3 linked regions of the Drosophila melanogaster genome follow. The protein of the gene in region 1 interacts with the protein of each later gene in a pairwise test. Each region holds a gene or a part of one and is shown in the gene's direction. Other genes may lie near its edges.

Evidence for each region.
Region 2: the proteins of CG32982 (region 1) and CG7101 interact in a two-hybrid assay, tested with the Drosophila melanogaster proteins (one large-scale study listed by BioGRID).
Region 3: the proteins of CG32982 (region 1) and CG31910 interact in a two-hybrid assay, tested with the Drosophila melanogaster proteins (one large-scale study listed by BioGRID).

Annotation. Positions count from the first base shown.
Region 1 is NT_033779.5:9,123,816-9,128,767, forward strand, and holds the start of CG32982 (uncharacterized protein), read left to right. Parts: upstream 1-1,921; 5' UTR 1,922-2,125; intron 2,126-2,945; exon of another isoform or gene 2,946-2,954; 5' UTR 2,955-3,207; coding exon 3,208-3,651; intron 3,652-4,952.
Region 2 is NC_004354.4:18,828,821-18,832,713, forward strand, and holds CG7101 (uncharacterized protein), read left to right. Parts: upstream 1-1,770; 5' UTR 1,771-1,842; coding exon 1,843-2,323; intron 2,324-2,402; coding exon 2,403-2,980; 3' UTR 2,981-3,303; downstream 3,304-3,893.
Region 3 is NT_033779.5:6,744,079-6,747,374, reverse strand, and holds CG31910 (uncharacterized protein), read left to right. Parts: upstream 1-1,752; 5' UTR 1,753-1,832; coding exon 1,833-2,212; intron 2,213-2,267; coding exon 2,268-2,676; 3' UTR 2,677-2,712; downstream 2,713-3,296.

The DNA of each region.
Region 1 (4,952 bases):
CATTTCTAAAACCCCCAATCATGATCCGATAATCACAACAAATTACAAGAACACAGGCCAGACAGGGGTGCATTGAGAACACAGCCAATAAAGTTATCAAACCACTTGTGACGGTCGCCAGACACAAAATCAAAAAATAAAATCCATTCGAAATCTACCCGAACAACACATCAAATTCTGAGAATCCCCAAAAAACACCACCAATCCCCAAACGCGAGACACGACAAATTTTCATCGCATTTATATCCGAAATTAAAAAATTATGCCTGGCGCCAGACCAAAGAACCCATCCCAAAAAAGATTTCGAATCTCATGAATGGCGTGTCAATTTGGTAATTGGAAACTAAAATCGAGGAGTTGCCAAAAAAGCTATAGAGACCCGCTTAGATTGTCCACAAATGGCACGTTCCATCTTGGAGTTTGTCGCAAAATAAAGACAGATAGCGATTTAGCGATTCGCCAATGATTTGCATAATTGCGTGATTCGCATACCGTAAAATTTACATGTGTGCCAGTATGTGAAACTCACTGTGAATCATCTTTATGAAGGCAAGATGGAATCCCAGACAACTCTTAGACCCGATGAGTCCACCGCTATTCCCAACTTATGGTAATTCAATGATACAATGAGTCAAGTGCTGGTCGCTTTCGCCTCCATTGTCAAGTGTTCGATTATTTCATTCGGAAAAAAAAAGAATGAACGCATTTCAAACGATTCATAATCCACAATCCGATTCCGGGACGTGGAACTGGACCAGCATGCAACAATTTGTGGTTCGTTTGCTGAGAGGCTGGTAAACCTGGAGATCCAAAGTACACAGCGAAGGGAACAACCTGTTTTCCCACCACCATAACAATAATAAATCTTTCTACGGGTCATGAAATAAAAAAAAAAATAATAAAAAGATATTTGAATTAAATAAGTTTAATATTAAAATAACAGAGATACATATGTATGTAGTAATTGTTATGTATCAATCCGTTCATTATAATGCAACTTAAGCCTTAACTTTTATCTCACAAATTCGCATTCATCGGCACTAATAATATTTTATTCCTGTTGTGTGAAGGAATTTCTGTACTGCGCGTTCGGGTTCAACATGCGTGATGTTGCAAGTCGGTTTGTTTTGGGAAATTAAATTTCCCAGAATGAAAATTCGTAATATTCTTTCATAATAAATCTTTGAGATATAAACAAACCCTACATAATTAAATTGCTTAATTTATATCCATATTAATATTGTAAGCAGTATTTTACTGTATAAATTCATTTAATTATACAATATAATTCACAAAAAAAATTCTTTAATAACCTAACCAAACCCAAATTTAGTTTTCTGTAAATATATTATATTTTTGTATCACTTCATATTGAGCTTTCTATTTAAAGGTATTGTTCTTAAAAATTCCTGGAAGCAAAAGATTACTTTTTATTAATTTGGGGTGATGACTAAAGGAAGAAATCAAAATACAGGGAAATTTTCTACGCAACTCGAACGGCACACAATGGGACAACTTCTACATAGCAATAAATAAAATAAGACAAGAGACAATGGCATTTATCTAAATAAAAAATGAGCTAACAAATTAATTTTTTATTTGTCAATTTTACTTTTACAGTTGTAACCTTTAAAGTTTTAAAATTTCAAAAATTCTAGTATGTGCAAATTACTTTTGGTAAGACTTAAGCTATACCTATTTGTTGAAAAGTTTTATTTCGGGACTTGCAGCAATTCTATAACAAAGTTTTAAAAATAAAATAATCCTCTTCAATCAATGGCTTAAATGTTGAAAAAAAAAACATTATTTTGCTGATACTGACACACCCACTGTGCGGCCCACTGTGCGCATTTCGAACATGTTCGAAGCGAACCCCGGATGCCGATGCATGGGATTCGGTGGCAAACCAGTTTTCGTTGCGCCAGTCATCGACGGGCAGCTCGCGTGGATAGTTCGCCTTCGCTTCGGTCGCTCGTTTGCTTTGCGCGACCAACTCACTTTGAAAATAAAATTTTGGCCAATAACAAAATTGGTTTTTTCAATTTGCTAAGCCACAGCCGCACCGAGAAACCGCAAAGAAATGCGACGCGACACGCTGCCAACAAATTAAATTTAACCTAAAGAAGTATGTGCAATAAACCAACAAACCAATTACCAACGAAACCAAATTCAAGAATTAATATGTCAGCGGAAATATCAAAACAAACGTGTTTGGCATCACATATGCGAAAGCAACGCGCCAAGAAAATATAAATAATAAGCCCCATCGACGTCAGCAAACAAACTCAACCGACCCGGCCAATAAACAGCTTCAAAAGTGCCCAAGAATCGTTGCGAATGCGAAAAGATACATTTGTATCTTTGGTCATGCACTTTGCAGTTACCCCTTCCATTTCCCTAAAAAAAAAATACGCAGTGTTTTGTTGTGCGAAAGTAAAAACTACCTGCAACAGACTTTAGAGACAGACCTGCCCAGACCGAAAAACCCGAAAAAGAAAACCAGTTTTGTGAAAATTATTGACTGCGCTCTTGTGTTGGTTTTAGTTTAGTTTTTATATCTCGTTATGCTTCTCTTTTTTTTACTATTTCTTGGCTGCACTCCTTTGTGGATTGCAGAAAGGAAAATGGCAATAATAACAAGCCGAAATTGGCGGCTGCCAGCGGATAGATAGAGGAGTCATAAATAAAGTGAGCGGATGGATAGCATTGATAAGAAATGCAATTGAGGGAGACATAAATTACCAAAGGTGTCAAGGGGTTCTAGCATAAAATTGAGGTGTAAACATTTCAGTATGGATTGAGTGGTTACGGTTTTTTGTTAAATGTGCTGTTAGATTACAAACAAATTTATAGCGATGATTTTTATTTTATTCTGATCCATTTAAAATGTAAATAGTATTAAATGTATAGGCACATTGAAGGCACTTAAAGATTCATAAAATCAGATTACTCAGATACGATTTCAGAACCAAACCAACCCAAGTGTGTAACAAGAGCCGACTTTGAGTAACAATTAGCAAAAGTACAGAACTAATGGAAGCCACTATTTAATTCTCCACCCACAGTCAACTCGAAAAGTGCAACATTCCCCATAAATAATAAGCAAGCGTTGCAGTTAACTTACCGCTAAAATCAACGATCCAACAATCAAGCAAAAAAAAAAACAAAAGAAAAACCATCAACGTAGGCTAAGAAACAGAACGGAAAATGCTCATGCACACAACATCAATTTCCACAACGTCGACGGCCACCATGACCAACTCATCGTCCTCCGCCACGCCCACACCCGGGTCGACTTCCTCCAACAACAGTGCCACGCTCGACGCGCTGCACCAGCAACAACAGCAGCAGCACCAGCAGCATCAGCTGCAGCAACAACTGCAGCAGTTGCACACGAACGCCGCAAACAATTCACGGCCCCCCTCACGTGCCCCCTCCATTCTGGACAGTCCGACCCTGGCGCGTGTGGAGCGGGCTCGTCTGCGACTGGAGCAGCAGGAGCGGGAGCGGGAACGGGAGCGTAGCAGCCAGCGGGAGGTGGGCGGCGGCAGCGGAGGAGGCGGCGGCGGTGGTAGCAGCACTGGCACTGGCAGCACCGCCACAACCATGAATCGTGAGGATAGCCTGGAGCGCAGTATTTTGGATCCCAAGGTGAGCTTGCAGCAAAGTCTGCACAAAAAACAAAATAAAAAACAGTCTTAACTGATCCCAAATCAAAAGAAGATCTCAAAAATTTTTTTTTTAAGTTTAAAGAAACAAAACAAAGCAATTATTTTTTTCGGTGTACTCTTCCACATACTCGTAGAATATAAATTACAATTAGGAGGGGGGATCTTGAAAAACCTACGTGATAATGAAGGCTCAAGTAACCGAATGTATTATCACAGCGAATCATCTGAAAACATCTCTGCAATCCGCTTAAAGCATATATTTTAATCTTTTAATTTATTTAAAATGTTCGTCAGATAATTCTCGCATACCTTGAGAGCCTGATAAATGTCTTCAATCGGACCAAAGAATTTGTTTATATATGAGACAACTTTTCGAAGTTTACGCCATAGAAAATACAATCTTATAAATGGCTGAGAAGATTATTTTTTCCAGCTAGAGAAATTCTTTGAATTTCACGATTCTGATTCTTACGTCATCCCATATGAAATATTCTTAAGAAGATTCTTAGTGATATGTGTTATGTAAAATTACTAAAACACTATTGGACTTATCTTTGTTAAATACCAAGACTTCACATTTTTGCAGTGAACATAAAATACATATTTTAAAAACTCTTAACTAAATAATTAGCCCAATTTCCGTAATGTGTTGCCACATCCAAGTACTTCCCATAGATGCCCGATTCCTTCAATCTCATAAAGCTCTTATTAGATTTGGTCCATAACCGAAACAAATGCCTTCATGATGCTGCAAATTAGTGGCTACCTTCTACTAAAACCAAATGAAGCACGTTGAGAGAGGAAAAGGCAAATAGAACAGACATTAGGATGAGGCAGTGAAAGAAGAGGGCCTAAACCGAATAAGCCATACACACATTTTTTTTTTTGCTTGCCCAGCCACAGTTCTTGACAGGGCCATTTCACTAATGGCCCAAGTCCTCCTTGCGGCCTAAAGTAGCCCCCTTTAAGCTATAGGTTACTGGCTGCCTAGCCAACTGAGGAGATGGCTACTTCTCGCTGTCCGAACACGACCTTCTGGCTATATGTAAATGCTTTTTATTTTGTTATTATTTTGTTAACGCTCTTATCGCTGCCAGTTTTTTATCTCGACTGCGCTGGGGTCTCATCATCTGGCAAAAGCCTCTTTAGGCTCTGGGCATTTTTATTTCTTTAAAGCTTACTGAGGACTACTACTGAGTTCCCTGGTACCTTTGCATACATGGAAATGGTCAGAGTTGGGTTGGCTGTGTGTCCAGGTAGCTTAGAACCCAGTTCTCAGGT
Region 2 (3,893 bases), on another chromosome or scaffold:
AACAAATCAGCAGCAGCAGCAGCAGTTCCGAAATTGTTGTCGAAATATATAATAGCAGCTTTTAGAACAACACCAAGGAAGTTGTAGTAAATGCGGAGGAAAATTGTATTGTTGTTGTTTTTTATGTACATTTACTTTTTTGTATTACCGTTGTTGTAAGTCAAATATGCCAAAAATGAATAGTTTACTAAGAGTTTACAACAAAAGATTCAAATGCAGGCAAGATATGAATTACTTTAAACGCAAATCGCAAGAACAAGTTCCGAATGTTTTTAGTAGTCAATGGAGAATATCTTTTAATCGCTTACACTAAGTGTTCCCATGCATATTTATGGGTTCCTTGCCGAAACAGAAATCTTACATAAACACAAAAATATAACACAAGAGCGCGGCTGTCGACTTTACTCCACCCCGGTACTCAAAATGTTCGAATAAAAGTGTGAATAAGTTACTAAATCATTGCATGCAACAAAGAATAACTTTAGCTAATGGATAATCGTGTTATTAGATCGTATTCAATTGTTACCTGATTTGATCCCATTTCGCTTTTATTGAACGTTTGATGTGCATTTAAGTGATTACCCCCACCCATAGCATTCTGCAAAAATCGTCCCAGTTGATAGAAAATGCAAATACAAGATCATACGTTCTCGATTCAAGTGTTTAACTTTAAAGTGCATTTTTAATATGAAGAAGTTCTGTTACATTTTTGTGATGATCGAAAAAAGGTCTTTTTTAGAACTGGCTGCGATTTTTCGATTGTAGTGTTGGAATTTCGAAACCAAAAATGTTGCTTGTGTGTTTAAGTTGTACCATTGTGTTATTTGAACTTTTGAGTATCGGATGAGCATAGAACTAAGGAACCATTAGAGGTCCGATGGATTGATTGAGCCGCCACAGCGCCATTTTGATAATAAGAACAAAGAATTCGATAACTATGTATGTTTAATGGATTACATAAGTGTGTACTACTTCACGCGTCAGGTGGGTGGCATTGCCCTGCAAATATTTACTTTAATTTCTGGATAATTAGTGCTCACATCACTGATTAGAGGACAGGAATGCGCAAAACAATATGCTTAATACATAAGATTCCAGAGCTTTTAGTAACGCCATGTAAATTCTGGGTCATGAATACAGTTGTGAAGATTGAAGATTGTAACCGAGGCGTTTGTTATTATGTATTCAAGTCATTTATTATAAGTGTATACAGCTTATACTATTATAAAAGTGTTAAAAACATGAATTATTTTGAGAAAAAAAACCCAAAAAAGAATATACAACAAAATGTTAGTCGGTAAATGAAATCAAATGTAAAACAATTTAATGTAGACTGTACTAAAGAATTCAAGGAAATTTGAATATCAACACTCCATCACGCAAATAACTAAAAGGAAATTCGCTAATTGAATAGAAGTTGATGGGAAAATTATTTGCACAGTGCAGAAAAACGTGTTATAAAATTATTATACTATACAAAAACTATATATTATTGAATTATGCTGATGAAATTAAAAACCATAAAAGTATGTAAAAAAAATTCAAATACAAAATGATTTAAATGAAGTACAATAAATATTCAAGTGACGAAAATGTACGAGCGGGCTCTTTTCAATGGGAATATGAAGAATTTAATTTGAAAATGTTTGATTTTTGTTTTTGAACACTTCGGTAAGTAAATGTGACCGCTTATTGATATATTCTGTTCAGCTTTCGCGCTGCAGTCACACTTTTGGCTTCCCGGCACTTGCGGTCAATCGATAACAAATCGCGCCTTCCGATATCGATAGTCAGCGAGCAGTTTTGCTTGTAACAACAATTTTAATTGGACAAGCTAAAATTATGGAACCGGTGCCCATCCGGCCAAAAGCGCCGGGAGCGAGCAACCGCGGAGCCCTGCCGCTGGCGGCGAAGAAGCCGGCCAAGAAGCGTACGTACCACTGCGGCGTTTGTTTTGCGGAGTTCTCTCGTCATCTGGCCGCCAAGCGGCACGAGCAGCAGTGCTCCGTCAGGGTGAGGCGTCTTTTCGTCTGCCCCCACTGCCTGACGCTTTTCGGCGAGGAGGCCCGGCTGGAGCGGCATCGGGAGCGAAAGCACAACGATGGCCAGTTCCTGTGCCTGCAGTGCGGCAAGAAGTACGCGTCAGCCACGTTTCTTTACCGTCATGTTGCCAGTTGGCACGGCCAGCAGTCGCTGTTCTACTGCGACATGTGCACGGACAACTGCAACGACGTTAAGACCTTTAGCGGGATGCTGGAGCTGCAGGAGCACGCCGAGGAGGTGCATCGCCTGCGTACCCTGAAGTCCACGGCCAGTGATGCAGGTAGGTATTCTGCTTACGAGTAGTTGTGATGTTAATGGCATACCCTGCTTAATAATACTATTCAATCCGATCCCTGCAGACAGCCAGGTTGATGAAATGGAGGATCTTGAGATGCTAGAGGAGAACATTGAGAACATACTGCCCAGCATCGACTGGGACGACGATCTCACCTTTGGCTGGCCCACCGACCTGGACAAGGAGTCGTGCATTGTGAACGCTAAGCCGAGCGTTTTCGTGTGTCCCTTCTGCGCCAACGGATTCCCCGGCAGTCTGAGCCTGGTGCGGCACCTGGAGCAGGTTCACGAACGCAGTGCCCTGGACTGCTGCTACTGTGGCAAGAGCCATGGCAGCCGAGAAGCCCTGCGGTCCCATCTGCAACGTGTTCACATCCTCTTGCGCGGTCATGTGTGCGGTATTTGCCAGGCGGACTTCGCCACTGCTGATCACCTAAAGAAGCACGTTAACAGTCTGCACCTGGACCACCGACCGCATCTGTGTCCCACGTGCGGAAAGAGATTCACCCAGCGGTGCCACCTCACCGATCACATAAAGACGGATCGCGGCCATGGACACGGCACTTACACCTGTGAATTCTGCGTGCGGCCCTTCTTCCGGGCCATCGATCTCGAACGGCATGTGTGTGAGGAACATCCGTAGGGCAGTCAACCTAGCCGGAATCGTAGATACCTGAGCGACATCTCACGTCCAGAACTACGATTAATATATACTTAAGCAATGGATAAATGTAACGTTTTAATAGCGTTAATATTTTGAATTTATATCCTAGTCATCGGAAATGTTTTTCCAAACGAACTTGAATTTAAAATCGTATTTTATTTTTTGCTGTAAAATTAATGCTTATGAGACGATTTACATTTACATCTTAGGAACTATAGACATAAGCGAATAGTTACTTTAATATAGCAAGCAGATGGCTGAAAGACAATGTACTTATATGAATAAAAAAATATCAATACATGAAGTCAGGTTAATAGAAACGGGCACAATTGAAATATTTTCTAAGGAAAGTTTGAAAGAATGAAAGATTGCCTAAAGAAAGTTTACAGATTATTGCTGCGTAGTGTTAACATAATGTAAAATGTCACACTAAAATGAATACTTTGAAAATAACGATGAAATAGTGCAGCTTTATGAGTAATATTTATCATCACCACAACACTGATTAATCAGATAATATACTCCATTTCCACCAATAGACAGATAATAGAATGTAACATATGTATTGTTCATGTTGCTCTATATATATTTAAATTTAAAATCTCAGCGAGCCTCCTGAGCGAGGGTGTGCGTAAGTCGAGATCGCGCTCTCCCAGCGTTAACTGTTAACAGTGAAACCCATCCGCTCCGCTCCAGGCCCCAAGATCGGGAGAGTAATGAGCGGAGCGGTTCGGTTCGGATTGGATGTGAGTGTTGCGGTACAGAGCGGAGAGCGCAATGCTGCGACAGCTGGGTACTGTTACTGTTACTGCAACAGTTACTGCTACTGCTATTGTTATTGGCGACTGTGGTGATAGGGGCGCAGTAACTTGGCCCACACCGACGAGTCGAC
Region 3 (3,296 bases), 2.4 Mb from region 1:
AAATTTCGAGCACATATTTTTATTGCGTGTCAATGGCAAAAAGCGCGTCACAAACGCACGGGGCACAGACTCAGTGGGCCGCAAAGACCTGTGCAGTGCGGCACAGCTACAGCTACAGATACAGATACATATATACTTTATCTCTCGGTTAGCCATAATATTTCTAGCGCCGACAGCCGACGGCACGACCTTGTCCCACGGCTCAACGCGTAGAAAGCGAAAGATGCGGATGGCAGGAATGATATAAACCACACCAGAGCACTGAGATGCATTATTAAGTGCATATTTTAATAAGAAATTATTTTCAAATTGGTAAAGTAATCAAAGTGAAGTGTAATTAGGTTTAAGTGTATTAAAGCTTAATGTCATTTTAATACTATTAACCAATCGTCCTTATTCTTAATTTGATTAGCTTGATAAGCCTAATTAGCCCACTTAGTGCAAATAACTACAAAAACGCACCTAAAACGATACATTTTTCAAATTTGGCCCTCTTAGTTGACTGCATTATTTTGTTTCCCTTTTTTCAATTATCGCGAAAGGTTCATTGCACCTTCGCCTCTTAATTGAACACAATCAAAAATATTTTGCAACCTCTCGCCCAGAATTAATTGCACATTAACAATTTGGTGTTGAGAAAACACATCTTGAGGGCGCACAAGAAGCACTTGTCTGATCCAAAATAGCCTAAACACATTACACCGAACAAGATATCGCGCATACGCCGCGTGTGCCGCTGTGGCAATTAAAAATTCCGAAATCGTAAACAACGCTCAGTCGTGATGTGCGAAATGTGGATATTTTGTTGAACATTTATTTGTAATATTTTCTTTCACAAAAAAATGTAATGTTTCGAGACAAAATTGCAGTATTGCAGAAGCCAGATTGGAAAGTTTTTAGAACGATCATTGTGGCTATAACATTTCACTTGAAGATATTTTTAAACATTTACCTTTCGCCTTACCATTTACATTTGACAGCCGTCAATATTTCCGACACATTTTTCCAATTAGAGCGCATTTCATACGCGTACACTTTTCGCACTCTGCACTCGCATGTTCCTATTGTTTATTTGAGTGATATTGAAAAATCGTTTGGAAACATTGCTCAAACATTGCTCATGAGTTCGAATTTCCTTCATATCGCAACAGATATATTAAATGTTTCACTGCCGGCAATTGGCTTCGCACTTCATTTATGATGCCCAACGAAATAAGAATACGGAAAAATTACGCATTTAACATGAAATCTATGCCAACGGATTTTCCTGTGTGTACGCTATATAAGTTGGTTGGCTCTCGGAAAAATCAGCAGCACTGCAGTATTTGGCTAATTTGATTTCCGTTCCAATGCATTCGAATGCCGAAAGTGCTCGAAAATCGAATCAATCAAAAGCTCCTTTTTGCCGCCCGACTGATTTCAATCGTATAAATATTATATTTAGTATATTTATATTTAACTATCACATGCTATTCATCGATTGCGAAGCTGATTTCTTTTTTACGTACATGTTTTTGGCAGACAAATCTTTTTTAAATTGGCCTAAGTGAAATATAAATCTTCATCTTTTCAACTGATCTTAATTAAAAGTGATTTTTCGTCAATACTCAGAGGATTCCCATTCGACCGATGCCAAACAAATTGGTTTAACCTTAGAGATCTAATAGGCCACTGACGAAAGAGATGAGCACCCAAATGGATGGGTAGTATTAGCCGAGACTAAATCATCTAGTCTGCCTTGAAGGCCGATCCATTATACGATTTTCTCAGACAGTCAGGCAGTTAGCACACACACACACACACACACCCAACACACGTAGTCTATAAACAAAATGGAACACAGAGTTGAATTGATGTTGGAACCCATAGTGGCGGGCAAGTTGGAGCGCAGATCGGATAACAGATCAAACAAGGTGGAGGATGAGGAGCCGCATCTAACCAAGCAGCTCAAGAAGCACTACGGGATTGAGGCAGAAGTTCTGGGTCTCCTTGTCAAGTTAGAGATGCGTTATAAGGAATACTACAATCTATACAAGTGCGAAATGAAGGCCCAAAAGATACTGGTTGAACGGATATGGCTGCTAACCCAGCGATATCTGATTCTAATCAGTTCAGAGCAGAGCTGTCGCTATCCCGAAGTGTACACCTTGTCCACCGAGGAGGCCATTATCAATGAATATGAGGAAAAATTGGAAGTGCTGCGAGCTTCAAAGTGAGTTGCATACAACTTGGCTTACGAAATTATTTACATTGCGCTTCTCTTTTAGCAACAAAATGAAAAACACCCTGTTGGAAATCAATCAGCAGTGCAAGGAGTTCTATGCCGCCTACGAAAGGCTGGACAAGGCCCAGGAAACGCCCTTCATCATGGGCGATAGCCATCATAGAAGCATCAAGTACCACAAGATCATGGCCGTCGACATATTCAACTATTTGTATGCAACAGTGCTGAAGCTCAAGTGCTTCATGCATCAGCTGGATCCCGTGAATCTGGAGAGTGTCGAGGAATACCGCGATCTGCTCCAAAACGAATCCGCCATGGAGGAGTTTGAGGAGTATCTTAACAATCAATTTGTCTACTGCAAGTGTATCTACCCGATTCCAACCTGCCCCATCTTGAAGCTGAAGTGTTCCCACCAAAACATAGCAAATTTAAAGTATGTCAGTCGCATCTAGTCAAGCCAAAATGTGCAATAAATAGAAGCCCTATTCAATGAAATTCGATTTATTGGCTAGTGATAGCTGTCCATCAACTAAACAACTAATCAATAATAATGAGTGTCCCATTAACATTTGTGGGGCTCTGCTCCCAATGAACAGAAGCCCTTCTGGTGATGCTAGATCGGGTCCCCCATCGGATCTTTAGTGGGTCAGCAGCTTGAGAAATCCGCCTGAGGATGCAGCACCTCGCTCGTGTGCAAGATGAAGTTATTTATCCGCTTAGCAACTCATCCAAAGAGTCCTTTTATAATACCGTTATCCACTCTAAATGCAACCCTGTCTACTAATGTAAAATAGAGAACCTGATCGAAACAGAGATAGATTTGAGCTAATCTGAAAATGAAAAGTTAAATTGACATGAGGGCCCAGAGACATTGCGAAAGTGACCTTTATTCAATTGCCACACTGTCATGGGCATAATGTGTTGCAGGGCCACGAAGGCAGGGTCACTTCTGTTATCAATGGTTTTATTCACCCCTGAACTTTCAGCAGCGCCAGCAAGAATACTTGTTCGAGGATGTTTCACGAGCTGAGCTGAAGCGTGTTAAATGCGATTCGGTCAGGCACAAGTCACA